Linked DNA regions of Stegostoma tigrinum. The protein of the gene in region 2 interacts with the protein of the main gene of each other region in a pairwise test. Links are inferred from orthologs where the notes say so. Each region holds a gene or a part of one and is shown on either strand. Other genes may lie near its edges. The genes, in order: plekhb2, DAZ-associated protein 2, rabgef1 and rnf208.

Region 1 (7,746 bases), on a different chromosome or scaffold from region 2:
CTGATTTGCTAAAAATTAAACAATTATTGATCTCCAGCAGCTACATAAGTGCTGTAGCTACACAAGTCAAAGACGTGGATTTCACCGACAACTGGAATTCTGCAGAGACCTAGCACCTCCCCAAATCCTGCCCACCATTCAGAAACCACAGGTCTGGAGTGTGATTGTAATATTTTCCATCTCCCCAGACATGCAAAGTGCTAACAACACTCAAGAAGCTCAGCACCATTCAAGCCAAATGCACATAAAATGTCAACACCCTCTACCACTGCACCACAGCTGTGGCAACGTGTACCATCCACAAGTTAAAGCCTCCATCAACAGCACCTTCCAAACCATACACACAGATCTCCTCGAAGGACGAGGGCAGCAGATGGGAACAGCATCTCCAATGTTTCCTACCATGTCATATACTATCCCATCAAATCCTGGAACTGCCTTCCTAACAGTACAATTGAAGGACTACAGCAGTTCAAGGCCGGTCACCACTACAAGGGCAATTGGGATGGTCAATAAGTGCTTGCTTTTCCAACAAAACTTTACCCTATGAAAATACTTCAAGTTTTAAAATCTGATAAGATTCCCCTTACCAAAATCTGTTCTACTGCAGGGCTTCAGGACCTTCAGCTTCTCCTCAAATCCATAGATTTTTCTTAGAAGAAAGTAACTCGTACAGCTTCAGGATAACCAAATGTACTTTAGAGTCAGTTACATGATCATTGCTGTAACTGATGAAAATTATCAGCCAAATTGTACACCAGGCTCCACAAATACATTAAATCAGCACAGAGCACGCTATAGCATATTTGGCCAAGTGATGCTACCACTTTGTGCTGACAGGGAGAAATTTTAACACGATCTCCGATTTGGACATTCATTCAATGGCCTACCAATGAAATAGTAATGAATAGAAATGCCTCTCAATGTAATTCTTAGAGGGCAGGCTGCTATGATAATTTCCACAATTTGAAGGTTATGGCCACAAATGCATTTTGGTTATCCTCCCACATTCTAGAAATGGATCAAATAGCTGCATCATCCAAAACTCGGGGGTTGGAGTTGCCTATTCACCATTATACCAGTCAAATGGGGACCCTGGCCATTTCTTCAACACTGCACACATCCCATTATTCATCAATTGGGAAAGTGAGCTGTTACCAGCATTTTGAATATTCCCTACTGTTGCCCAAAATCACTGACACGATTTGAAGCACTTTTTGGGTAGGTCCAAAAAAAGTATTAGCCCTTGCTTTTCTTTGAAAATTGCACAGGAATGATTTACATTCAACCGAGTTGGCTGTTACTTTAAAGTTTGTATAAGCAAGCAGGGTTATAGTGCAGGACTTCCTCAATATCACACAAGCACCGTGTTCTCAAAATCTCTCCAGTTTGGACTTTGGTAGTGTATACCCAAATCTAGTACAAACCCAAGACTTCATATTCAATTTGCAAGCACTAATTTCTAGCCTTGAGACATATTTAGGTTTTAAAATATACATCTTCACCACAAAGCATTTGGAATTAACGTTAACCCAACAGCAAGTAAATCTAAACCAAAAGAGGAGCAGATGCTGTAAGTCAGTAATAAAATCAGAAGGGTCACCGGACCCAAAACATTAACTGATTTTTCTTCATAGATGCTACCAGACTTGGCTGAGCTTTTCCAGCAACTTCTAGATTTTGTTCAAGTAAACCTGCCCCAATTTAATGCTGATGCGCAACACCCTTAAATAAATCATGTCAAGAAATCTCAAACTTTTTATGGGAATTCTGAATTAGCTGAGGAGCTAAGCACTAGCAGCTGGATGAACGAACAAAATAACAACTGATTCAGTGACATTAAGCCTAAAAGGACAGATGACGAGCTTTGACTGTCTGAACTACAGTGGATTGGAAAGTGACTCAGTGGTACCACGTGGCCCAGACTTAAAGCATTTCATCCTCCACGGACTTAATTCAATTAAGCACTCTGCAAAGGTGCAAGTTATTTCAATGATAAACAATAACACATAGCATAAACATTGTAAAACACTAATAAATAATAAATTCACAATTTTGTTCTGGGGAAACTGTGAAATGGTTTAAGTAGCACTCTATCATGAACGATTATTGGTTCACAATGTGTGTCAATTTCAAACATACTATTAATTCCACAAGTTACATGATGTGCTTTTGTTTACTAGAGAGGGTGGAGGAATGATTAAGTAGTCATATGATACTGTCACAGATGACGACGATCACACACTAAAACAAACAGACGCCTACTCCTTCTCATATCATAATAAAAGACCTGTTAAGTCCATGACAGTTTTATATTTCAAAAGGGGAGGGGTGGGAAAGAAGGGTCAGTCAGAAAGTAGGATAAATCCGAAAGGGATCAGTCAGTAGTTTAAGCAGCAAAAATAAACAGTTCTCCTGGTTTACGTGTGGGCTGGACGAAGATATACATGAACCCAAATCCTGTCTCCCTCTTTCTGCTTCCTACTGCTGCTGATGCGCAACATTAGTGTATTTATTGGGCTGGGGTTAGGTTTAAGAAATACACTGGAAACATCGCACCCAGCAGACAGAAACAGTCAAATCCTTTGCCAAGTGACCACGCTATGAACCCGGCCCTCGACAGCCGCGACCATCTGAAACAGAAATCCAGAGACACTCCTTGGAACGCCATGTAAGAGTTTAACGTTCCAAATTAGAATCCAAAGACTACCGTGCAACAGTTCAACGTTCCAAACTGGAACAAAGACTCTCGTAGAACCCCATTACCACCTGCAACCGCTACTCACCCTCAGCCCTAGCAGCTCCACTCACCCCGTCACCTCAATTTGTCACAAGACAAGTGCGTCCTCAGGCGATCCACCTATTCTCCGCCCTCCTTGCCACGGTCGCCTCTGGGAGTTATAGTCCATTCAAACCCGTTCCCCGTTTTCTGCCGAGGACGGAGACTACATTTCCCATCCAGCATCGCAGACTGCCGAAGGAAAGACTCCCGGCTTTGAAATAGGAAGAATTGCAGAGGTTAGAGTCAGAGATAACGCAGCATCATAGGAGCCGGGAAGTTGACGTTTTGGGTGGGGTCACTTCTTCCTGCTTTGACTTCCTTGTGAATCCACCCAGCCCCAACGCGTTCCAGCGCTATTGGCACGAATGATAAAGGGCTGTCTTCTTTGGATGTGTCCTCCAGCAGGTGTTTACATCTTATTTGACGTTTCTCCCGAAGGGAAACCTCCCTGAGATCTTCATCAAATCAGCTGAAGTTGGCCCTTCTCTATTTACTCTGTTTATAAAGTTAGCCAGCTACGAGTTTGAGGGTGGCGGAATGGGTAGCAGGGGCCCAAAGAACTGAGGCTGTTGGAAATCAGAAACAATAACGTAAGTTTCTGGCGAAACTCAGCAGGTGTGGCAGCATCTGTGGAGAGAAAACAGAGTTAGGCTGTGTTCTATACAAGGGTCATTGCGTTCTCTCCGCAGATGCTGCCACACCTGCTGAGTTTCTCTAGCAATTTCTGTTTTTGTTCTGATTTCTAACATTCGCACTTCAGGGGGTGTTGGGAGGAGGGGGTATAGGGGATCACGATTGTCGATTCGGTCGAGAAAAAAAAATAAACATTAGGTAGACCACTCGAGCTGAATGCCTTTTTGTGCAGCCCATATTCAATACAATTCAGCCTACAGATCTTTGTGGTTCCAAGTAAAGCATCACTATGAATACGGGAAATCCTCCATACCACCGACATTCAGTCCTATGCCCAATTGACAAGTGCCCTTCCAACTCCATGAACTAACAGCAAACATCCTGCTGGACCTACTGATGGTTATCACTAAAATGAACTAAGTTTGTGAATATTTTAAGTTTTTAAAATTCACAACAAATAGTGGAAACCTGGCAAAAAGCCCCAGTCAGAAGCCCAGAGAGAAACCTCTCAAAATTGCAGTAGACTAGAAAAGACAACACCTTCCAATCTGTAGCCCAAGACACCTCTGGTGACAGCTTCCATGCCAGATGATCAGCAATGAGCTAAACTTAAAAAGGCCCAGAATCGATTAACTATCAGTGCGAAATGGCATATGGGTTTTTGTTTTGTTTTCATTCATTCACGGGATGTGGGCATCACCAAATAAGCAATTATTTATTGCGTATCCCACATTGTCCGGGGAAGGTGAGGCTCAGCTGCTTTCTTAACTGCAATCCTTTTGGTCGGTACACAGTTAGGAAAGAAGCTCCAGGATATTTTGACCCAATTGCTAGAAAAGCTCAGCAGTTCTGGCAGCATCTGTGAAGGAACAAAAACAGAAGTTGCTGGAAAAGCTCAGCAGGTCAGAAGGGTCACCGGACCCGAAATGTTAACTCTGATTTTTTTTCTTCACAGATGCTGTCAAACCTGCTGAGTTTTTCCAGGAACTTCTGCTTTTGATCCTGATTTTCAACATTCGCAATTCTTTCAGTTTTTATTTTGACCCGGTGTCAGTGTTCCAGTCAGAATGGTATGTGACCTGGACGGGAGCCTGCAGGTGTTACTCCCTTGTACCTACAGCCCTATCCTAAGTAGCAGTGGTCACAGGTTTAAAAGATGTTGTCAAAGGAGCATTAGTGAATTACTGCAGTGCTTCTTGTAGTATGGTCAGACTGCTGCCACTGTGTGTCGGCAGTGAAGGATGTGAATGCTGAAGGGCGAACAGGGGGGGCCAATCAAGTGGGCTGCTTTGATCTAGATGGTGTCAAACTTCTAGAGTGTTGTTGAAGCTGCATTCATCCGGGCAAGTGGAGATTATTCTAACACACTCCTGATGTGGGATCAGAGTTAAATGCATGGCTTAAAGTTTAGATGGGAGATAGGGGTTTCATGGAGGACTGGTAACATTACTGGGAAAATAGAGAGCTGTACTGTTATGGTGACCTTCAACTGAATTTTACTGAGATGGATTAAATCAGGTCGGATGTTAATTTTAACTGGAATGTGGCAGAAAGAGAGTGTGCAAACATAAGAATGGACCACTAAATGATGTCAGAGTAAGGAAAAATGATAAGAAGAGAGGCTGAGAGATAGGATCCAGAAGGGTCCAGAGCCAAAATGTCAGCTTTCCAGCTCCTCTGATGCTGCTTGGCCTGCTGTGTTCATCCAGCTCTACACCTTGTTATCTAAGATGAGAGGCTGAATCAGTTAGGACTAGATTCACTGGTGTTTTGAAGATGGAGGAGGGATGTCATAGAAACATATAATATTCCAACAGGACAAGACATTAAATGAAGGAAGGATACTTCCAAGGACCCAAGTCCAGAACTGGGGACAGAGTCTAAAGATACAGGGGAGACTATTCAGGACTGAAATTTGAAGAAATCTCTTTATCCTGAGAGTGGTGAGCATGTTGAATTGTCTGTCACAGAAAGCAGTAGAGACCAAAACATTGAATATTTTCAAGAAGAACTTAGATGTGGTTCCTTGCATGAAAGGAGTATGGGGAACAGGGAACTGAACTGGATAATCAGTCATGATCATACTGAATAGCTGAGCAGGCTCAAAGGGCTGAGTGGCCTACTTATACTCCTACCTTTTATATTAAGACAAAATTAAAGTTCTTTGAATGCACACAACGTTCATAACTAGATCAATTAATGGCATAAATCAAAATGAATGACTATATGGTAGCTATTAGAGAGATGTGATTGCGAGGTGACAAATTTCATTTGGTTCTTTTCCAACTTTTATTCTGAATGCACTTCAGAAACTCTTCTCCCCTCTTCTTTTCTGCCCATTACCTTATTTCCATCATATTTATTTTGATAATTGAAGCTTGCCATTACAACTCTTGTTTTGTACCTATCTATGATTTCCTTACAAATGTGTCCCTCCCTTTCTCAGAGTTGATGGCCCACAGAATACAGCAGTAATGCAATGATATGCAATGATTAGCTGTAACCTCAGATTTTGTCCTTTACAACTCAAGGAAATATCCAGCACTGTATTATTCTTCCTAATCAAAACTTGCCAAGTGACCTTTTGTTTTCCTTCCATATGTTTGCAGAAAACATTGTGTTCAGAAATATTTAGCACCCAATTCAGCCCCCTTTTCTTTTTAATTCAATCCGCACTATCACAATGGAATTATAATCCCAATTGGCTGTCTGTGATTGCATTTTATGAATCTTATTTATCATGCTGTGTGTTCTAACATACATGCATTGCAAATCTAAAATAGACTTTTTGCATCATTCTTACTTTAAAATCACCTAATACCTTACAGTTCCTAATTCTGGTGCCATCTGTCTCTTCTGACCTTTATGTTCATGCTTTTCCTGCTTCGCAACCACCTAAACAAATAGAAAACCTGCTTATAAGGACATTGGTGCCAGCATTGTTGAGTTGCAACTCATCCAGCCTGTGCAGGTTCTCCCTTCCCTAGAACCTGCGCTAACATCCCAGGAATCGAATGCCCTTCTCCTTCCATATATTGAACTGCTTAGATATCTTGGCTAGAATCCAGAGCTGAAAATTTCTGGTGTTTCCTGTGTGAGGATTTACTCCCTTCAGTTATGAATGATCTTGTCCTGTTAGCTTAGAACAACGGTGAAATGTTAGGAGTTCAAAGTGCACATTCAGTTTTAGCGAAGTGGCCACACTGCAGATATGCATGTATATATCTCTTGGTGAAAAGAAAGCCAGAACTTTGCTGCAAGTAGTGTTTTCACTTGAAACTTTGTTCAGATCTCAAAGTGACAATGATGTGGTGCAAGTTACAGTTGCAATCTGCACTCTGTTTCAGGCTGGAAACACATAGTAGGCAACAGAAAACTGTCAACATGCTTTGGTGGAAACGATTGGGAGATTTATACTTGTCCATCTGTTTTGTGTTGGGAAACAGTTTGACATTCGATGGTAATACCATCGCTTAATACCCCACTATCAGCACCCCAGGCATTATTATTGACCAAAAACTAAACTGGACCAGCCATGTAAATATTGTAGCTACAAGTGCAGGTCAGAAGCTGGCAATTAAGAAGCAAACAGCTCATTTCTTGATATAACAAGGTATAGAGCCGGATGAACACACCAGGCCAAGCAGCATCAGAGGAGCAGGAAGGCTAACGTTTTCTTAAAGGGTCTCGATCCAAAACGTTAGCCTTCCTGCTCCTCTAATGCTGCTTGGCCTGCTGTGTTCATCCAGCTCTACACCCTATTATCTCACATTCTCCAACCTCTGCAATTCCTACTATCTCATTTCTTGATTCCATTTAACTTGTCCACCATCAATAAGTTAGCAATCAGGAATGAAATGGGATAATCTCCACTTGACAGGATGGGTGCAGGTTCAAGACTCCATCCAGGATAAAACTGCCTGCTTGAGCAGCACCCCTTTCACTTGTAACCTTAATTGAGCGACCCCTGCTGGAAGCGTGTTATCCGGACACCAGGAAATGGCAGATCAGGCGTGGTTCTTCTCCAGCAATGGAGAAACCTGAGACAATAAATCTGATTTTACTGTCCTGGCCTTTTATAATTTTAAATGCTCCTATTATGTAATTCCATACTGTTATATCTTGTTTTAATAAAGTCAGTCACAATCTTTCGAGACTGCTGTTGTGTTTGTATTGTACTTCCTCCTGCCATGCAGCATCTTGTGTTTCCGTGATGCCTTCTGTAGGTAACTTACACTTGATCTACTCTATTTCCATTGCAAAACTTAACTGGATCATTCCTTTCATACAATCCATATTTACTAACTGTGGTCCTGAGATATAACAGTTTT
Region 2 (7,372 bases):
GAAGCATGTGTCACGTATAGATAACTGGGATCAAGTGAACCCCTTGAGGAGTATAGTGGTTGTAGGAGTACATCTAAGGTGGAAATCAGGAGGGCAAAAAGGGGAAAGGAGATAGCTTTGGCAGATAAGATTAAGGAAAATTCAAAGAGATCCTACAAGTATATCAAGGGCGAAAAAGGGTAACTAGGAGGTAATAGGACCCCTTTAAGATCAACGAGGTCTTTTGCGTGTGAAATCACAGGAGATAGGAGAGATCCTAAACTATTATTTTGCATCAGTATTTAGCATGGAAGCTAAGGAACTCAGGGGGAAAAATATTGTTGTCTCAAACATCAGAGGATGGTCACCTCCAACAAGAGAGAATCTAATCATCCCCTTTGATGTTCATTGGCATTACTATTAATCAGCTCCAACAACATTCAAGACATTGCTTTGTCATGGATGGTGTCCAGTCAAGACTGAAGTGTGTATTACCACAACTTTTCTGAATGGGCAAAAGTGGAATAAAATATGGAAAAAATGTGAAGATTATCCACCTTGGTAGGAAATGTAGATTATTTCTTCAATGGCAAGAGTGTAAAGTATACAAAGTGACAATGTTTCCTTATCAAGAAGTCACTAAAATATAACAAAAGTTCAGTAAGCTATTAGGAAGCCTAATGGAGAATGTTAGACTTCATCGCAAGAAGATCTGTAATACAGAAGTAGTGAAATCTTGCTTAAATAGTGTTTGGTTCGACTGCACCGCGTGTGTGAAGGTTTGGTCTCATCTCAGGAAGGATATTAATGCCATACAGGGAGTGCAATGAAGGTTCACTAGACTTGTTCCTGTGATGGCAGGACTGTCATTTGAAGAGAGATTGGGTGAACCAGGCCTGCATTTTCTAAAGTTTCAAAGACAAAGGGGTTACCTGATTGAAACTTACAAAATACTTAAAAGGAATAGACTGGGTAGGTGAAGGCAAGATATTTCACCAGGTGGGTGAATCTAGAAACAGAGGGAACAACTTAAAAACTAAGGGGATGCCATTTCGGACCAATTAGAAGAATATAGTTTGCTCAGAGAGTTGTGAATTGTTGAAATTTTCTATCCCAGCGGGCTGTGGAAGCTCAGTCTTCAAGCATATTTAAATTCGAGGTTTGATAGATTTGTGTTTACCAGTGGCATAATGGGTTATGGAGATATTGGAGGTAAAAAGGCATTGAAGTGTTCAATCAGCCACTATCATATTAAATAACAGAACCAGGTCTGAAACCAGGGGGCACAGATTAAAAATAATGGGGATAACACTTAGGTCTGAGACGTGGAGAAATTTTATTATTCAGAGGGTTGTGAATCCTTGGAATTCTCTACCAATGGGAAGCTCAATCTTCAAATATGTTTAAAAGGCAGAGATTGATAGATTTCTGGGGATAAAGTGGGTAAAAAGGCATTAAAATGTTTGAGTGCATTGCATGATTGGGCAGGCTCAGTGAACTGAATGACCTACTCCTGTTCTTGTTCCTAAAAAGCAATTGAAGATGGGGAAATAAATGCCAAAGTTCACGTACCAAGGTTTAATAATCTTAAACATGAAACAATTGCTTGAGGAATCCAGGACAGACATGGAATCCAGCACAGCAGAATTGTGGTAGCAACATGAAATTCATAGATAATGGGAACTGCAGATGTTGGAGATTCCAAGATAATAAAATGTGAGGCTGGATGAACACAGCAGGCCAAGCAGCATCTCAGGAGCACAAAAGCTGACGTTTCGGGCCTAGACCCTTCATCAGAGAGGGGGATGGGGGGAGGGAACTGGAATAAATAGGGAGAGAGGGGGAGGCGGACCGAAGAAATTCATCTCAGGGACATTATCCAGAAACTTCTCAATTTCAACATGGAAAAACTCTCTAGTGGAATGAAGTGACAGTAGTCAAGACTTCACTTACAGATTTAGGGGATCATAAATCACATTATAGCGACAAATGCTTCTATTTTATACTCGTTTTAGATAACAGAATTGTTTTTCAGAAAAACATCAGCAGCAGGCGGAGCTGGCTATCCACAAGGGACACGCACTACTTAAGAATACCAGGCACTGAAATCTCATTATCACAAACAACAAATTTTATGACATTAATTAGCCTATTTTAAACCAGTTTAAGGTGTGGAGACATTTCGAGTCAGTGCAAGATGCGCTGAGCAAAACCGGCTCGTCAATCTGATATTTTATTAAGATCCCATTATCACTCAACAACTTGTATTTGTCAGTGTTTTGATGTGAGTCACAAGGTGCTTAAATGGAACATTGCGCCAAGTTTTGACACCGATCAAATGCTACAATGACTTTGATACATCACCAAACTTTGAATCTGTCCACCCCAGCGAGCATCTACATTGCCACCGGTGGCGTAGTTCATTGTTTGCTCAAAATCTACGCAGAGTTCAGAGCGGAAGAAAAGGTAAGGCTCCCAACGTCATGACCACGTCTCCAGTAACAACTGTGTGCGTGAGGACATTACATTAGCATAGCTGTAAGGGCCTAATCCTCGCAACAGAGGGAGGTATTGGAAAATAGGTCTACAACGGGCAGGAGGGGAAAACACACGAATTTCCCTCAGAGGGTTTGAAAAAAAACATGTACTAACATTCCTGTCAGCTGTTAGTAGTTTCAAAAATAAATTGAAAATAATTCGCAGTGTTTGTGTAAATCAGGGCTGGCCTCTTACTTCGATCAAGGATATTTGGCCAGGAGACAATCGAGACTGAAGTCGAGCCAATGGTCCTAATTTGATTGGGCGACCACACTCACCACTGTCCAAGAGCCGCACTTAGGCTGGGCTTCGCAAGGTGCAAACCACCAAAGCTTCCCTGGTTTTAATCCGGACAAAAGCCCAGACTTACCTTTTTTACTCATACTGAATGCAGCGTGCGCTATCGATTCTCGGTTTCTCCAAGCTCCGACTGATTTCGTTCAAGCGACTCACTTCCTTGTTCTGATTCTGTGGCAGCACCGCCCATCACTCCCTGGAAACGCACCAAGACTCTTAAAGGGAAATTGCATTTGTTCTATCATTCTATTTAACACGGGCACAATTAAAAGGAAAGATCTTTGAACAGTTCATTCAGGCCATCGATTGTTTTATTCAAGTTAGACTGATCGAAGGGGAAATTAGACGAAGGTTGTGGTTCTGATCATGGCAATAAAAACTAGTTTCGAGGAAGGGTCACTCGACCCAAAACGTTAACTCTGATTTCCCTACACAGATGCTGCCAGACCTGCTGAGCTTTTCCAGCAACTTGTGTTGTGGTTCTGTAAGAAAGCAAACGTGAATAGATAGCAGGAGAGAGTAATGCCAATCACAGTCTAATAGTTTATCAGTTATTGACCGTTACTGTTTAGCCTTAGCTGCCTTTCAGATGAGATGTGAAACTAAGTCTTCTCATTCTCATGAGGGCAGGAAATGACCTATTATCGCCAGACTATTAATCCAGAAACTCCGCTAATGTTGTGGGTTTGAATCCCACCGTGGTAGACAGTCGAATTTGAATTCAATTTTTTTAAAAAGCTGGAATTAAGGATCTACTGGTGTCCATGAAACCATTGTCATCTGTTGGGAAAAGCCCCAGCTGGTTCACTAATGTCCTTCAAAGGAAACTGCCATCCTCACCTGGTGTGGCCTACACGTGACTGTAGACCCACGGCAATGTGGTTGATTATAAATTGTCCTCTGAAATGTCATAGGAAGCCACTCAGTTGTATCAATCACGACAAAGTCTGAACAAAAAAAAAATCAAATTGGACAGACTACCTGGCATAGACAACAAAATCTCTGTCAACCCTGCAATGTCCTCTGGACTGAGTTCTCTTGATTACCTGTGTGTACTGTCAGTGCATACTATCTACAAGATGCGCTGCAGAAATTCACTAAGGGTCCTTAGACAGCACCATCCAAACTCATGCCCACTTCCACAAGTAGGACAAGAGCAACAGATACATCGGAACACCACCACCTGCAAGTTTTCCTCCAAGCCATTCAATGATTTGAAAGTTCCTTCTCTGTTGCTGGGTCAAACTCCTGGAATTCCTTCTCTAAAGGACATTGTGGGTCTCCCTACAGCATGTAGACTGCAATGGTTCAAGAAGGCAGCTTACCACTACCTTCTCAAGGACAAATGGTGATGGGCAGTAAGTGTTGGGCCAGGCAGCAATACCCATGTCCCATAAGCGAATTTCAACAAGTGGACATAAAAGATCCCTTGATGCTTTTGAAGGAAAGTAAGTTTTTCTTGTTTTTTCTTGGTATAATGGCCAACATTTGTTCTTCAAACAATACCACTAAAATGTATTGTCTCATTGCCAAACAGAGTTCCTACTTACAGCGATTCTTTGTCACATTTCCTACAACAGTTACTACTCTTCAAAAAAACATCATTGGCTGTAAAATATATTGGGATACTCTGAGGTTAAGAGAGGTACTCATACAGAAATGGAGGTGCTTATCACCATTTAATCAACACACACACTTGGGCTGGGAATCAGGGAGGTTTTGCCATCTGTGAAATGGCATCCAACCACCAGCTAACAGGAGAAATAGGTGGAAATTCGGGAAAATATCTCTCTTGTATCCCCACATGGGATAAGTTCAGGGAGTGTAGCATCATCATCTGGAGCTTCGCAAATGGGAAAGGAGTTGATAGCTTTGCTAAGCTCCTCCACTGCGGGTCTTGTATCACTCTTCTGTGTCAGTTAGGCTCTCTGCAAAATCTAGATATTCATGCCCCCCACTGGACTGTAACTCAAATTAGTGTTCTACTCATCTCTCTAACTGTCATTCCAAATGATAGACATAGAAACGTAGGAAATATGAACAGCAATAGGTCATTTGGTCCACTGAAAACACTCTGCAACCACTCAACATGGTAATAAAATGTGAGGCTGGATGAACACAGCAGGCCAAGCAGCATCTCAGGAGCACAAAAGCTGACGTTTCGGGCCTAGACCCTTCATCAGAGAGGGGGATGGGAAGAGGGTACTGGAATAAATAGGGAGAGAGGGGGAGGCGGACCGAAGATGGAGAGTAAAGAAGATAGGTGGAGAGAGTATAGGTGGGGAGGTAGGGAGGGGATAGGTCAGTCCAGGGAAGACGGACAGGTCAAGGAGGTGGGATGAGGTTAGTAGGTAGCTGGGGGTGCGGCTTGGTGTGGGAGGAAGGGATGGGTGAGAGGAAGAACCGGTTAGGGAGGCAGAGACAGGTTGGACTGGTTTTGGGATGCAGTGTGGGGGGGGGGAAGAGAGCTGGGCTGGTTGTGTGGTGCAGTGGGGGGAGGGGATGAACTAGGCTGGTTTAGGGATGCAGTAGGGGAAGGGGAGATTTTGAAACTGGTGAAGTCCACATTGATACCATATGGCTGCAGGGTTCCCAGGCGGAATATGAGTTGCTGTTCCTGCAACCTTCGGGTGGCATCATTGTGGCAGTGCACGAGGCCCATGATGGACATGTCATCTAGAGAATGAGAGGGGGAGTGGAAATGGTTTGCGACTGGGAAGTGCAGTTGTTTGTTGCGAACTGAGCGGAGGTGTTCTGCAAAGCGGTCCCCAAGCCTCTGCTTGGTTTCCCCAATGTAGAGGTAGCCGCACCGGGTACAGTGGATGCAGTATACCACATTGGCAGATGTGCAGGTGAACCTCTGCTTAATGTGGAATGTCATCTTGGGGCCTGGGATAGGGGTGAGGTGGGAGGTGTGGGGGCAAGTGTAGCATTTCCTGCGGTTGCAGGGGAAGGTGCCGGGTGTGGTGGGGTAGGAGGGCAGTGTGGAGCGAACAAGGGAGTCACGGAGAGAGTCGTCTCTCCGGAAAGCAGACAGGGGAGGGGATGGAAAAATGTCTTGGGTGGTGGGGTCGGATTGTAAATGGCGGAAGTGTCGGAGGATGATGCACTCCGCTCAGTTCGCAACAAACTGCACCTCCCAGTCGCAAACCATTTCCACTCCCCCTCCCATTCTCTAGATGACATGTCCATCTTGGGCCTCCTGCACTGCCACAATGATGCCACCCGAAGGTTGCAGGAACAGCAACTCATATTCCGCCTGGGAACCCTGCAGCCATATGGTATCAATGTGGACTTCACCAGTTTCAAAATCTCCCCTTCCCCTACTGCATCCCTAAACCAGCCTAGTTCATCCCCTCCCGCCACTGCACCACACAACCAGCCCAGCTCTTCCCCCCCACCCACTGCATCCCAAAACCAGTCCAACCTGCCTCTGCCTCCCTAACCTGTTCTTCCTCTCACCTATCCCTTCCTCCCACACCAAGCCACACCTCCAGCTACCTACTAACATCATCCCACCTCCTTGACCTGTCCGTCTTCCCTGGACTGACCTATCCCCTCCCTACCTCCCCACCTATACTCTCTCCACCTATCTTCTTTACTCTCCATCTTCGGTCCGCCTCCCCCTCTATCCCTATTTATTCCAGAACCCTCACCCCATCCCCCTCTCTGATGAAGGGTCTAGGCCCGAAACGTCAGCTTTTGTGCTCCTGAGATGCTGCTTGGCCTGCTGTGTTCATCCAGCCTCACATTTTATTATCTTGGTATTCTCCAGCATCTGCAGTTCCCATTATCTCTGATACACTCAACATGGTCATGGCTGATTCTCTACTTCAATGCCATACTCCTGCTCTTTCCCCATAGCCGTTGATGCCTTTGGCCTCAAAAAATCCAATTCTTTCTTAAATGTATTCAACGACTTGGGCTCTACAACTTCTGTGGCAAAGAATTCCACAGGTTCATCACTGTCCGAGTGAGGAAATTTCTGGTCAACTGAGTCTGATATGGACTACCCCACATCCCCAGACTGTAACCATTTGATCTGTACCTCCTAGCCAGGAGAAATATCATCACTTCATCCTATCTGTTTCTGTCAGAATTTTATGTTTCAATGAGATCCCCTTTCATTCTTCTGAACCCCTGAGAATATAGGCACAATCTCTCCTCATGTGACAAACCTGTTATGCCAGGAATCAGTCAGGTGGACCTTCACTGCACTTCCTCTGTAGCAAGTATGTCCTTTTTATAAGGTAAGAAGACCAAAACTGCATTCAAAACTCTAGTTGTGGTCTCACCAAGACCCTGTACAGCTGCAGTAAGACTTCCTGGCTCTTGAAATAAAAGGCCAACATACCACTCACCTCCTAACTGCTTGCTGCACATGCATGCTTGCTTTCAATGGCCAGTTTGCAGTGACATGTATACCCCTTTGTATGTCAACATTTCCCAATCTATCACAATTTAAATAATACCCTATCACTCTGTTTTTCTTACTAAAGTGGTTAGCTTCACAATTACCCCTGTTATCCTGCATCTATTATGCATTTGCTCAATCAAC
Region 3 (7,496 bases), on a different chromosome or scaffold from region 2:
CTCATTCCATACACGCACCACCCTCTGCATGAAAAAGTTGCCCCAGGTCCCTTTCATGTCTTTCCCCTCTCACCATAAACCTAAGACCTCTTGTTTTGGACTCCCCCAACCCAGAGAAAAAAACCTTGCCTATTTACCCTAGCTATGTCCCTCATGATTTTATAACGTCTGTAATGTCACCTCTTAGCCTTCAACACTCCAGGGAAAACAGGCCCAGTCTGTTCAGCCTCTGCCTATAGCTCAAATCGTCCAACCATGGCAACATCCTCTTAAATCTTTTCTGAACCTTTTCTAGATTCAGAAATCCTTTCTAAAAGGAGGAAAACCAGAATTGCAAACAATATTCCAAAAGTGGCCAAACCAATGTCTAGGGCAACATGACCTCCCAAATGTAGTACTCAATGTACTGACCAACAAAGGCAAGCATACCAAACACTTTTTTCACTGTCTTAGCTACCTGTGACTCCACTTCCAAGGAACTATGAACCTGCACTCCAATGTCTCTTTGTTCAACAACACTCTCTGGGAACTTACCATTAAGTGTATAAGTCCTGCCCTGATTTGACTTTCCAAAATGCAGCACCACATATATCTAAATCAAACTTCATCTGCCATTCCTTGGCCCATTGCCCCAACTGTTCAAGATTCTGTTGTAAACAAAGCTAATCATCATTGCTGTCCAATACACCTCCAATTTTTGTGACATCTGCAAACTTACTAACCATATCTCCTATGTTCACATCTGAATCATTTATATAAATAACAAGTCTCACCAAAACCATTACATTCTGTAATGATTAAGAAGTCAAACAGAATCTTAACCAGGAAACTAAAATAGTTAACTAAATACGAAGTTAGGTGCAGGAAGCAAAATGAAGGAAGGAAAGACAGATGTTAGAGAAATAAGAGGGAAATGTTTCTTTGAAACAAGTGAGTATTTAAATTATTTCTAATTAGATCTGCAAATACAATGAAAATTAGATGAAAATAAAAGCCAATTTTCAGTGTTACAGGAGTCTGTTGTGCAGTAATTAACAAACTGCTGTTTAAAAGTTGTTGCACTGCATTGGACTGGCAGCACTTGTCTTTGCAGGATTAGTGGTGTCAGATCTCACAAGCATTGAAACTCCATGACCTTCCATTTATTTCAATGTCAAATTTCTCAGTGGCATTCCCGTATAGTGACACGATCAGGGGAGACAATTTTAGATTGTAACTGATTACCAGTTTTTAACTGTACATATACAGGCACCAGAAATTGCTGTCCAAATTACTTTTGTCTTCAGTCTAAATCTGAGCTGTAACTTTTTCATTACCTTGATTAATCTAACCACAAGCCCTTGAGGTTCAATTGTATTACTATCACCAAATCCCCGGATTTAAACAGCTGGTGGAGTACCACCGATCAGAAAATAAACTGGACCAGTCATACAAATAAATGGCTACAAGAGTATGTTAAACATTAGGAATTCTGCGACAAGTAACCCACCTACTGACTCTCGCCCCAGAGACAAAGACTAGCTAGACAGGGTTCTACAACACTTTGCAGAGATACCTCAAAATACTCCACAAACTACTGAAGCAGGATGCAACTGATGAAGAAACAGAATGATTAATTCTGACATGTAGTTAAAAACTGCAGATGCTGGAGTAAGAGAAAACACAGTAGGCCAGGCAGAGGAGCAGGAAAGTTGATGTTTCGGATAGGGACCCTTCTTCAGCATTCTGAAATGCTGAAGAAAGGTCCCGTCCCGAAATGTCAACTTTCTTGCTCCTCTGATGCTGCCTGGCCTGCTGTGTTCGTCCAGCTCCACGCTGGTTAATTCTGCACATTATTTTCATCTCTAGCGGAAGTATAAAAAAGTGCCTTCCTTTCGAGTCTCCAGGGGATGTAAATTACTTCACAGTCTATTTTTTTTGAAGCGTTAGCAGCTGAAATTAAGGGAAATGCAGCAGCCACTTTGAGCACAAACAACTTGTTCTGGTGAGTTAATGTCCCAATTCGCATGGGTTTGAGGTCTCTAAAACGAGTGGGCCAAATTCTCTAGTGACATCTGATAAGGGCCCAGTACAGTAAAAACGCGTCGGCGGCCGGATTGATTTAGATAAATAGGGCATGCAATCCACCTGTTATTAAGCTTGGAGCTGGACACCAAGTTTTAGCAAGGGGCAGAGGGCGAAGTCTTGTCCAAATCGTGCTGTGGATCCCGATTCCAAGAAGATTAAAAACAGGCTTCAGTTCTGGTCAAAGACAATCTCGATCGAGATAACAAGTTGTGGAGCTGGATGAACACAGCAGGCCAAGCAGCATCTTACAATCTCGATCGAAACGCCTACTTCTTGATCTGCTGAGCATATAGTTTTTAATTTTGTTTTGCTTTCTAGTTTAATTGGCCCATCCGATACTGGAGTGCCCGTCTGTGTTTATTTACGTCCTCGAGTCTCTAGGAGTGTGACTTGAACGCATGACTTGCTGAGAGAAGGAACACTATCAACATGATCAACACAGGAATAAATTAATACATTTAAATACAGATGGCATTGACTCTTCTCAAACCTTTCTTCCCATCTCTCTCTCTCTCTGGGGCAGATCACCCGGTGTTTGTGTACTAATTCTCCACATCCACACCACGGCTCTGTGCCTAGCCTTTCCCTGCAGCCATCAATGGCTGGGAAGGAGGGAGGATGGATGGCCCGGCCCTGCCCTGCCGTGCAGCAGGGAGATGCCGGTTAGCCAGCGGCTGATTCCCAACTGCCGCTCCCCGGCTCAATCGACACGGCCGCATCCCGGGCTGTGAAGATCGGCGTAACAACGCAAAGCCATAATCAATCATTTCATTTCATTTCAGACTGTCAGAAAGCGGACCCAAACCCAGGGCCTCACCTGTATCACTGTCCGAGCCACACTCTCCGTCTCTTCCTACACCCCCAGCTCCCACCGGAATTTTCTTCGCTCACTTAACCAACCGCTAAGGCGCGCGATACCTCAGAGGGAGGCGTCATTGCGTCATCGCGCACAGAGCCGCGCAGCGACACGCAGCGGCGCTGACGTCACTGTCCTGGAAACACCTAGTGGAGCTGGAGGAACAGACCAGGCCAGGCAGCATCAGTTGATCAGGAAAGCTAACGTTTCGGATCTGAAGAAAATCTGAATGTTCCCGATCCGATACGTCAGCTTTCCCGCTCCACTGATGCTGTCTGGCCTGCTGTGTTCCTCCAGCCCCACACTCTTATCGCTGACTCCAGCATCGGCAGTTCTTACTATCTCTGTCCTGGTAAACTTTTTCCATCAAAGTTTAAAAAGAAAAGTTGCTGGGCCGAAGGGCCTGTTTCCACACTGTAGGGAATCTAATCAAAAGCTCAGCAGGTCTGGCAGCATCTGTGGAGAAAAACAATCAGAGTTAACGTTTCGGGTTCGGTGACCCTTCCTCGGACCTGGGAGGATGGCCCGACCCTGCCGTATTAAAGTTGCCGGACTGGAAGCTGAACTCTGATCGTCCGTGGGGCATTGCTGAAAGTCCTCATCTTTCTCGGTATTGGCATCCACAGCACTCCTTTGTACTAGACTGCTTCTATTGCGTGGCCAGCAGTTAAGTGAATATTGCATAACTCCGAGCTCCACTGCACCGGTTCACATCAAGACGGATTACCTGTCCATTCATCCAAACGAAAACATCTGCGGACACGCATCCTTTTGTTTTTATCCACCCGTCAAGGCTCCCAACGAATGGGGCTCATGATTAGGGAATTTGACCCTCTCATTTCAGAGAGCACCCTTCGATCCCACGACGTTTTGGCCCCTCTGATTTGGTAGGATATCTCAACCTGTTAACTGTATAGTTTCCGATCCATCGTTCTCTGTGTCGGATGTCTACCTGTGATGTTTGAGTACGCAAAGCTGTGGGGGATTGGTACACTGAACAAAACGACTTTTGACCGTTTTTCTGGTGCATATTCCTACGTTTCAGCGCATCAAATATGTTGGCCATACTTGATTTGAGTGATAATTGGTTATTGTCATATATATCTAGAAAGATAAAGTGAAAAGCGTTTTGTCACCACAATCCAGCACCACTTTGAGTTACAAAAAGAATTAAAAGAAATTACACAAGCAGAGTTTATCCCTTGTAAAGGGGGTTTTCAAATACAGCTCCAGGATTTCTGCAAGGTGTTCTGGGCCTCAAGGAGCCCTTGCTCCGAGACCAGCAATGATGATCCTACCAAGAGACTATGCTTCAGGCAAATAGCAGTGGGAGAGCCGGTCCAGGCACCTTCACCGACTCTACCAAGGTCATGTTCTGGGCCTACCACAGCGAGGAGTCCTCGCTCTGGTCACTGCCACAACCAATGCCCCGCCAAGTCCACGCTCCAGGTCTACCACAGCTGGGACTCCCCACTCCAGGCACTGTCACTGCCACAGCCGACTACTTGCCAAGACCATGTGCCACACCTACCGCAGCCATGATTCCTTGCCCCAGGCAACACAGCTGACACCCTGATCCAGCTTCCCCATGAAGTCAGAAGATGAAGAAAAAAAAAGAAAAAGACAAAAAAGGCAAACAAGAGAAGGATGCAGCCTGTCTGGAGCAGGCACGTTCAGGAGTCTGAATGCTATCTACTGTGTGACACCACCATCTTGAATTGTAACACTCTGACTGTTTAATTTTACTGCATTGCAAATGTAAAGGTAGAAAGCCTGTTTGGCTTGGCTGTCTGTTTCCTCCATAACAACTTCCTTTGGAAGAGTCCAGATATGAAAAATCTGCGCAATTCAGGGGTGACATCAAAAAATCATTTTTAATGTAAATACTAGTGGAAATCTGGGACTTTCTTTCCTCCCCCTGTCACCTGCCCCAATGAAATGCTGCTGAAGCTAGGTCAGTTGAAAGAATCAAAACAAATATTGATAGATTTCTGTTAATGTCTAATTCATGCCTATGCTTTAAACCTGAACCATTTGTTTTCAGCCCCATTCAGACAAAAAAAAGATAGAGAAACAAATACAGTTAAGGGATAAATAAAAAAAGTAATAAAACTAGTCAGATTACTTAAATGGTTTTCACAATGCATTTTTCACTGCATTGATGTTGACTGTTTGGTTGCTTTTTTGGGAACCTTCTCAGTTACTCAGGTAAGGTTAATAATATTTCTAACTCAAATTTCTACTGTCTGGGCTTCTGAAGCTTAGTGTGAGAGATCAGATCTCTTAGCTTTCAAATCTTCAGCTGTGTTGTCAGCAGCCAACCTCTTCTACTCCAAATAAGACAGTTAAAACACAACTCCAACTCTGTTTCCACCCTAATGGATTGAATGTCTTTTCCTAAGGCTTCAATTACCACTCAACATCTGTCATCTGCTTAAACACAGTGTCTCTCCCTGACTTGCTGAAACCAATTCCCAGGTACTGACTCCATGAATAGACAACTTCTGCTATCTGTTTAAACATGGTGCTCTTTCTGGGATTGCTGTGTCTGTTAGAGCCCTTTTGATCAAACGTTTTAATCTCTAGGCCTGATATCTCAAAAAAGCTTATTTGATCTGTTCTTTTCCCTTTATCATAAGCTATCCCAAAGTCCACGAGTTGTTCAACTCTCAATTCCTAGCTCACAGCTCCAAGTCAAAATTGATATAAAAATAAAAACAATGAAAAATATCAGTGAAGTTTCCAACAAAATATGTACTATCTACTTGATTAAATCCTGAAAACATCTTAAAACTTCGATTAGATGATTCCATAGAGTGTTCAATTTTATGCAACCTTTGCTTAGAATTTAGCTCCTTTAGTCCTGGTATTATTTGGGTGAAACTACAGTGCACCATTACAAAGGCCAATATATTTTTCTTGAAATGCAGTGCCTGGAATTGACTACTGCACACAAGAGCTTTGTACACCCATGCATAAAATTCATCCTTTGTATTCCAGCTCTCAAGTTAAACACCAACATATCATTGATTTGATTTTGTACTTGCACTAAGTTTTTAAAATTTCTTTACTTAACTCCAAATTCTCTCTGCTTATCCACAGTTTCTGGCCATTCAGAAAATGTTTTGATCTATCTTTCAAGGGTAAAAAGTATGTAGTTTGCCACATTGAACTCCTCTGCCACAGTTTTCTCTACAGATTATTGATATCCCAGACAAACTTTTCATTCCAATCTGTTTACTGTGCCACATAACTTAGATGCTGTGAGTAAACTTAGATATGCATTTCTCTCTATTTCTTAATCTCAGTTAATTATAGATACAGTAAAAAACTGAGGCCCAGAATAAATCATTGATAGACACCGGGTCTATTGTAATTATATATCTGTTATCCTTATTTTTGATCTCCTAACACCTAACCAATTCTTTATCCAAACTTTTTGTTGCCAGATGCTGAGATAACAAAGTGTAGAGCTGGATGAACGCAGCAGGCTAAGCACCATCAGAGGAGCAGGAATGGTGACGTTTCAGGCCTAGACCTTATCCAGCTCTACACTCTATTGCCAGGCTTTTGGTGAAAGTCTCTTTTGTGGAACTTTTTTGAATGCCTTCTGAAAATCCATACAACTAATCATAAGACCATAAGAAATAGGCATAGGAGTAGTCCATTTGGCCTCTTGAGCCTACTCCACCATACAATAGAATCATGGCTGATCTGACATTCCTCACAACAACTTTCCTGCCCTTTCCCTGTATCCTTGATTCCGCTACTGATCAACAATCAATCCATCTCAGACTTAAATACACACAAGGATTTTTCTCACACAGCTCTCTGTGGCAAATAGTTCCAAAGACTCTCAGCCCTCTGAGAGAAGGAATTTCTCTTCATCTCGGTCTTAAATTTGCGCCCCTTTATTCTGAGACATGCCTTCTGGTCCTGGACTCTCCCAAGAGAGGAAACGTCCTTTCAGCATTTATCCTGTTAAGCTCCTTAAGAATCTGAGCCATAGCATTCATAGAGACTCCCATATCTAGCATGTCAGTTTTCTATTCAAACAATTCAAATCAGTTTGTTCGATGTAATGAACTTGTCTAGCTTGTTCTGATCGATTCATAATTATACAAATCCTAAATCATAGAGACCCTAATAACAGAATCTAGTAATTCCCCATAATTAATACTAAATTAACAAAACCCTCAGCTCTTAGTTTACCTACCTTATCCTTCCATTTTGGCAGATTTTGAATTCAAGACAACAATTTCTGAATCAAGTGTTCCAGAAGATAATGTCTAAGAATTTGATACATTTCTCAAATATGGCTTTTTTTTAAACCCTTGTGACCTCACACCCACATGGTTTTCACAATTTAGTCCCTCCAATATCACACACCCATTTCTGACACTTTACCTATGTAAACCACAAACTAGCTGCATAACCAGTTCACCCAAATTCTCACAGTCAGGTCAGTCATGGTCTTAATAAATGGTGGAAAAGGCATAAGGGGAGGAATGACCTAATCTCATGGCTAATTCGTACATTTGTGTAAACAGTTTCCCTTTTACAGTTCTAAAAA
Region 4 (7,494 bases), on a different chromosome or scaffold from region 2:
TTTAATAAATTACTGGAGTTTACCTTTTCTATGACAATATGACCAAATCATCTGATGAAGGGAATGGACTTTGGCAAGGGTATGCCTCCTGACAGCGAAAGGCCTGATTTACCAAGCCTCTAACAGCAGCCACAAGTTTTACAGTTCAAACCATCGATCAACTAGAAGCTGTGAGGCACGGGATAGATCTATGGTAAATATCTCTGGAACCACCCTATGCTCCAAAGTGAACATTGTAAAAACAAATGTAACATTTTGCTAAGGTGACTAGTGGTTCCCCACCATATGGACTACCATCAAACTGGTGTGTTCACCAACTACTCAATCAATGTTTGATTTGAAGAAGGCAAGGTTTTTGAGAGCAGGATCTGTGAAACTAAGATCGAGGATCATCAGCCAAGGGATGAAATGAACTGGAAAGATCTATGAAACTTCCAAACTGCTCATACTTTGTCTCCGCAATGTGCTGCTCTATCGTATTAAATCTCCTAGGTGGATATATCTGACCTGTTCCTCCTGAGATGCTGAATGATTGATTAGTGTGTGTGCCATTTGGCCCAGTGTCACCATATGCTGGCTTCTTTGGACACTACTGCTGTAAGAGAAGAGAGAAAGGTGTTTCTGCTTGTGGCTCACTTACACTTGAAAGAAGCTATGTGTAGATCTATATATACAGCTGTTTAATTATGTGTATGGAACTGTTCCTCTGTAGTAAAAAAAAACATGCCCATGTATTGTACCTATTTTGAATTAAATAACAGCATGAGGAGCAATCATGCATTCTCCACTAAATCACTTCAACCAACCAAAGTTGACTTGCCAGGGAATCAGTACCTTTTCACATGCAGTGTACTGTGTTGTTCCCTATGAAATTTGGTCTTCTTACACCTGTCCTGATGAGTGAAAGATGAAAAGCTTGAACAGTTTGTTTTCAACAATAGACATTTGTTCTTATGAAAGATCGTCATATCCAGCTTCCAATAGCTTTGATGACAATGAGCAAATGAGAGAGCAGGTGAGAAGGAAGAGTGGGAGACACACAGTTAGCAAAAATGCTGAAATATTTCTCTATTTCTTCAGTGGTCAAACAAAAGATAACATTAACATTATTGTTTATAATAAAGCAAAGTATTAGCATGTAGACCAGTGAGTGAGATAGTACAATATCGTGCAGCAACACCAGATGAAATCATTTATTTGGCTTGAATGCAAGTCTGGTGATGCAAAGTGTGATGATGTATCATTCAAGGCAAACATGAAAACTAGTTTCAGATAACATGAAGTAAAGGTGATTCAAATTATCCTAAATGATGAATGCATTGATGTAATGGAAGGTAACAGCTCCATACTTTAATTCAGATGGTGATTTCCTACATTTCATCAAGGAAAGCAGCGTGTTACTCATTGATGCTGGGAGCTACTTTCTATTATCGCTCTTCAGCAGTTTCTTGGGGCTCCTGTGACACCACAACCCAATATAAATGCTCCACCTCTGCTTCTTTCCTTCTGCAGTCCCACAAGAGAAACCTGGCATTCTGTGCCTTGCTGATCATTGCTGGTAGATGCATTTCTAAACAGAGGCCTTTGCCTGTTAAACACAATGACAGTCTTTTTCAGCTGCTGTTCTCCAGAACTCGCAATATTGCACAAAATCCCATTCGAGGTATGCTTCATTATGAGAGCACATTCCCACGTACACCAACCCGAGGATATGGAACGACTGCTCAAATCATAATTACATCAGGAGGGGAGGGCTAAGTATACCACTGGGTGGGTGATCTTCTTACTAAAATTGGAATGGAAAATGTGCAAAATCCTACCAGAGAGACCTCTTGTGTCTGCGGTTTTCTGGACAATACAAGAACAACGTATATCTTTTTATATGTTTCTCTGTCACTGTGGTTGTTCTGGAGGCGGAACATGAAGACCAAAGGTCAACTGAATCATACGGTGTGGTTGTGTTGGAGCAGCAGTGACTTCACATTGTCTAACTTCCAATCACTAGACAAGTTTCCTTCTTGGGTCTGGACGGAAACAAGAGGTTGTGCTTTATTGCTGTAAGTGAGCTTACTAGTTAGGTAAATACTTCTGACTTTATAATCTTTAAATATTGCAAGTTTGCATACAGCTTTCCCTGTCCTTATTGTAGCTCTGACTCTGTTTACTGGAGACACTATTGATTATTCCTACTGACTGCCCTTCATCAATGATGAGAAGTGAAGTCCTGACCCAGATACTGGGTGTTTTAACTCTTTGTTTTTTGCTACTTGAGCAGGTGGCTTGTACCTATTGGATGTTGTATGTCACATCTGTGAACAGGACTGACATGCAGTCTGATCCAAACTCTGAGCTGGGTGCATGTTCCTGCATGTAAAGCATTGCAATGGTGGTTTCTAGTACACCCCACGATCCAGCATGGTCATAAGACTAGAAGAAGCAGAAGTACACCATTCAGCACATCAAGTTTGCTCCACCATTTAATGAAGCCTTGGCCAATCTGATAATCCTCAAGTGCTCCACTTTCCTTCCTTTTCCACATAAATCTAATTCTCGTACTGATTAAGAATCTGTCTACCTTAGCCTTGAATACACTTAATGACCCAGTCCCTCCAGCCCTCTGCCATAATGAATTCCAGAGATTCAATTTCCCCTGAGAGGAGAAACTCCTCCTCATTTCTGTTTTAAGCAGATGATGTCCTCTGGTCCTAAACTTTCCTGAAAAGGGACACAACCTCTCTCATCTACCCTTTCAAATCTCCTAAGAATCTTTTCTGTTTCAATCAGGTCACCTCTCATTCTCCTGAATTCCAATGAGAATAGGCCCAACCTTCTCAACATCCTCTCATAAGACAGTCCCCCCAAATCCAATATCAGCCAAGGGAAACTTCTCTGGACTACCTCCCATGCCAGAATATTTTTCCTTAGATAAGAGGCCCAAAACTATTCACAGAATTCCAACTCTGGTCAGACTAGTGCCTTGTATCATTTTAGCAAGACCACCCTACTTTTACACTCAATTCCCTTTAAAATAAAGGCCAACATCCCAATTGCCTTCCCTATTACCTGCTGAACGTGGATGCCAGCTTTGTGAGTTCCCTCTGGCAGTGGGAGAAATACCCATCGTCAACTCCTGCAGTGCCAGCAGCACAAGGAGTCAATAGTGGGCATTGCTGGGCATGTGAACATTCCCAGGATAGAAGCCAGTGGGATCTCAGACCAACATAAGTTGAGAGCACTGAGTGGAGAGGTTTCAAGCATCTTAGGAAGCGGGGCAAGAGGGTAAAGGATGTAGGTTTCAATTCCAGATGGAGAGGTGGGAAGGGTGAGGATCATCTTCTGACGCGGGTGCCCTGATGTAAAAACGACACCCTCCATTAATTGTACCACTTTTACTTCCAGTTCTTTTGAAAGCTTTATTTTTTTAAAAAATCAAGCAGCCTATCTGCCAATGTCAACCATTTTACAACAAGGGCAACATAATATTGAGGCCTAAGTAGTTATTAATTATTTACCCACAGTGAAGACCATTGAATAAGTATGCGCCCAGTTTCAACCTCACCTGCAGCCTGGTATCATGAGGGCACTTCAAGGATCATTGGGAAGGTGGTGTGCTGCCTAATCTATTTTGTAGGCCACATCCCCCACCAAAAGCACAGCCAGCCTTGAGTTAGAAACTCCAAACCATATGCAAGGTTCCAAGCTCAGAGTGTCCACATACATTTAATTTACAAGCCTTAACAGCAGGGGATAGCCAATGCTTTTAGCCCATTAATCCAGGGAAGAGTCCAAATGCTCTTTGGTGTTCAGGGAATCTTTTCATTGTCTCGATATGTCCCAGATGTTGTTCCTTACGTTGTTCTCATTGGGTCAGAATTTATTCTTTTCTCTCATTGAGTTATTCCATGTCTTTGTAAAGTACTGTTTGCATTAAGTTCTGTCCTAAACTGTTCTGAGGACTCAGTGTACTTTAACACAGTGTAGAACACCCTTTCCTCTCATCAACCGACTGTCAGCTTGCAATCAGCAGGGTTTTAAAACTCAAGCTTAGTATCTGTCTCTGACAACTTCAAGATTTATCTTGCCTTCTCTGCCAATCTGTTTGATCTGTGTCATTTTCTGAATTGTAAACAGTCAATCCTTAAACTAAAGTTTCTTAATGAACTGAAAACATTCACTTTAACTTTCTTTGGAAGCACCTCATGGAATTAAACATTTTGTTGGGTCCCCTTTGTCTTGAAAATTCAAATGCCATTGTCACAAACTTTTAATAAATGTCACTGTATTGAGACATTTTGAGAGTGAAAACAGGTCAAACAGACTTCAAAAGGGACTAAAAACAAATATTATTTCCTTTTCGTCATTGCCCATTATCAAACTGCAGATAGTCAGAGGTGTCAGAAGACAGCAGTCAACATTGAACACAGAGGGAGAATGGAGGGGTTAAGTGTGTGAACTATCTAGAGGTGACCTCGCTGACTAGGAGGGTGTGAAGTAGTCAGGGGAATAGCTGCCTTCTCTTGCAGTAACAGCACTAAGCCACTGTGACTCAGGAAGGAAATGGCAACAGCATCATCCTCTGCTTTCTCAGCATCGATTGCAACACGGCGCAAACCCTTTGAAGGTTAGGCAGATGAATGAAAAATACAAGCAGCTAGACGTTGGTTTCAGTTGCAAAGGTAGCCTGAGTTGAGGTACTGCGGCCTGTAGCCCCTACACTGCTGAATGAGAGAAATGTGAGCTCGCTGCAGTACTGCAGTGCTGCTGCAGACAATACTGCCATCGAAGGTAAACAGAGGGCTCCAAGAGACAGACCGAGAGAGGAGAGAGAGAGAGAGAGAGCAAGCTGCAGAGCAGCCACTGCCCTTACTGTCAATACAGAGACAGACACTGTGCAGCTAGCTAGAAGGAGGACTGCTCAATTGAAAACTGGAACCACCAGATTTACTACAAGTGCAGGTAACGTGATTCAAGCAAGCATCTTCATATAATTCACTATTGCTAAGCTGAGAGCTTCTGTGTCGTTGACTCAGTTCTGTCATAAAGCTTTCTTCTGGGATATGTTTGCAGTGTTCGCCTGCTCATTTTGCAGCATTCACTGCCGTTAAGAGATTGAGCATCCAAAAGAGGAAGAGAAGTCAGGACATACAGTTATAAAAACTGACACCTTAGCTTCATTGTATAAAGAGCAGCGTGTTTGAAACTGATGTGGACTGTGCAAACGATTCAGGATGATTCTTACAGATTGTGTTGCAGCCTGAATTGACTGTATGGATAGTGAAGACTCCTGGTGCAAAGAGAGAAACCTGCAAAGGTGCAGAGATGGTCAGACAGGGAAGGGAGTGCAGGCCCTACCTGTGAAGCAAGCTGCCTAATCGCAGCTGGGACTCTCAGACCCCTAGCCCATGGCGTGCCTGAAACAGCAGCAGGCTGCCATCAAGATGGAGGCAGTGAAGATTGTGCCAGTGGAGAAGTTTGCGGAGTGCTCAAGCTCACAGGGCCGGTACGGGCCCTCACAGTGCGTACGTGAGCCACCGCTTGTGGGAAAGTGTGCCTGGCCCCTAGAATCCGAGATCATCGCAAACCAGGCCTGCGCTGACGTCCCCACCCTGGAGAAAGCCCGGAGCCCTAGCGGGCTGGCCCGGACACCACCCCGCCGTGAAAAATTTGTCCAGGGCCATCGCAAGGCTAGTGCCGAACTGTGTTACCACCGGCAGACCCCATCAGATGAGGTCATCGTTAATCAGTACGTTCTTCACCAGTCAACCACTTCTGAACCCCTGGAATGCCCCACCTGTGGCCACGTGTACAATGCCACCAACAAACGTCCACGGATCCTCTCCTGTCTACACTCGGTGTGCGAGGAGTGCCTGCAGATCCTCTACGAGTCCTGCCCCAAGTACAAGTTCATCTCGTGCCCTACTTGCCGCCGGGAGACCGTCCTCTTCACCGACTATGGCCTGGCAGCTCTGGCAATCAACACCAGCATCCTGGCCCGGCTGCCAGCTGAAGGCCTCACTGCCAACCCGGGCCAATGGGGCAGTGAGGCTGACCGCAGCTGCTACCAGACCTTCCAGCAGTATTGCGGGGCAGCCTGCAGCTGCCAGCTCCGAAACCCATTGTCTTCCTGTGTCATCATGTAGAGGAAGAGAGAGAGAAGGCCCTTCCCCATGTCACAGAGTAACATTTGTGACCAAAATAAGGATTACTGCTCCAAGACTGAACAACTTGCTGTTCTTTCTCAGCAACCTATATGGTAAATTATCTATAACTGCATTATCTCATCTGGGAGTTTCTGTGTTTTCTGTGAAATCAAAGGTATCAAATTCAGGTTGAGTGGCAAGTATTATGCAGTCTTGATAGTTTTGCCTGAGAGGCAGTGTTGCCAAGCAACCTGCACATTCTTGACTACGACCTCGGAATTGCTTCTTTCTCCACCCCAGTATTATACGACGCCTAAAACCATTGCCAAAGCAGCAAGTGTTTTAAAGTGTTGCCCTCTCTAGGTTGGTAAAGCTTAATGTGTTCTAGATGCACACCACACTATCCAGCAGCCTATCGAGACCCTCATTCTTGGCCCTGCCCAGTGCCCTCAATCTTTCACCAGAACACAGTGTCTGGCGAGAGCATTTCTTTAACCTGAAGTTTCGATTTTGATGGTTGGATAATTAGAGAAGGGTTTAGCTGCACTTATTTTTAATTGCAAACATCCTCACCTAAGCCACAGCCCTGCCCCAAACCTCCATGACATCAGAGGCATGTTAGTAGCTTTTGTGTGGTGTCAACCCAGCCAAAATCAGCACCGGGAGTGCTCGAACTGGGCCAGCTGCCTCAGCACTGTACAACCTCCCCCGAACCCCACCTCTAACCTCCCACCCTACACCCTCCATCCTCTGACCTCCCACCTCCAAGCCACTGTGGTTCTGGAGGAAGCTGGGCTGAAAAGGGTCACGACCATAGGTTTCCACATCGACCTGTCAGTCACAGTAAACATTTAACAAAGGCTGCTCTCACCTGTGTGTCTGAGTGCATTGGTTTTGCTTTTGCTCCTTGCCCCACCCACAATCCTAGTCTTGGGTCCCAAGAAGCCATTCACACCTTTAACACAACAGATGGAGAAATACTCATCTTTGGCTCCAAATTAGGTGTATAGAGCACCTACGGCCAAAGCTAACAGTCAGTGCTGGAGAGCTCACCGAGAGCAGTGCTAGGAACACAAAGAATGTTTCTTTATTGATTGTATTCTGTGAATAAACTCTATATTAGACCTTCCATTTGTCTTTGTGCTACTACAATAATTAATGAATGAAGTAGGTAAGCATTAGTGCATCTCCCAGCAAAGGGTTAAATTCAGAGCAATGACTGGTGAACATTGGTGCAAAGACTAACACTACAACATAATGGGGTGCCTCTGAGTGGGTTCCTCACTCCATCTTCTCCCCTCACTTCACACTACATATATAAATACTCATATCAAATTTTATTATCAAAATATTT

What was found.
Region 1: the proteins of DAZ-associated protein 2 (region 2) and plekhb2 interact in binary tests that used the Homo sapiens proteins (3 or more experiments, as listed by UniProt). The two-hybrid records come from large-scale screens. The link is inferred for Stegostoma tigrinum from reciprocal best matches to the Homo sapiens genes DAZAP2 and PLEKHB2.
Region 3: the proteins of DAZ-associated protein 2 (region 2) and rabgef1 interact in binary tests that used the Homo sapiens proteins (3 or more experiments, as listed by UniProt). The two-hybrid records come from large-scale screens. The link is inferred for Stegostoma tigrinum from reciprocal best matches to the Homo sapiens genes DAZAP2 and RABGEF1.
Region 4: the proteins of DAZ-associated protein 2 (region 2) and rnf208 interact in binary tests that used the Homo sapiens proteins (3 or more experiments, as listed by UniProt). The two-hybrid records come from large-scale screens. The link is inferred for Stegostoma tigrinum from reciprocal best matches to the Homo sapiens genes DAZAP2 and RNF208.

What each region holds. Positions count from the first base shown.
Region 1 is NC_081367.1:13,147,926-13,155,671, reverse strand, and holds the start of plekhb2 (pleckstrin homology domain-containing family B member 2), read right to left. Parts: upstream 3,017-7,746; 5' UTR 2,812-3,016; exon of another isoform or gene 2,787-2,811; intron 1-2,786. UniProt on the Homo sapiens protein: Involved in retrograde transport of recycling endosomes.
Region 2 is NC_081404.1:5,873,548-5,880,919, forward strand, and holds the start of DAZ-associated protein 2, read right to left. Parts: upstream 3,022-7,372; 5' UTR 2,901-3,021; coding exon 2,888-2,900; intron 1-2,887. UniProt on the Homo sapiens protein: In unstressed cells, promotes SIAH1-mediated polyubiquitination and degradation of the serine/threonine-protein kinase HIPK2, probably by acting as a loading factor that potentiates complex formation between HIPK2 and ubiquitin ligase SIAH1.
Region 3 is NC_081380.1:23,276,525-23,284,020, forward strand, and holds the start of rabgef1 (rab5 GDP/GTP exchange factor), read right to left. Parts: upstream 3,019-7,496; 5' UTR 2,885-3,018; intron 2,489-2,884; 5' UTR 2,128-2,488; intron 1-2,127. UniProt on the Homo sapiens protein: Rab effector protein acting as linker between gamma-adaptin, RAB4A or RAB5A. Involved in endocytic membrane fusion and membrane trafficking of recycling endosomes. Stimulates nucleotide exchange on RAB5A. Can act as a ubiquitin ligase.
Region 4 is NC_081382.1:4,060,068-4,067,561, reverse strand, and holds rnf208 (RING finger protein 208), read left to right. Parts: upstream 1-4,476; 5' UTR 4,477-5,402; coding exon 5,403-6,140; 3' UTR 6,141-7,269; downstream 7,270-7,494.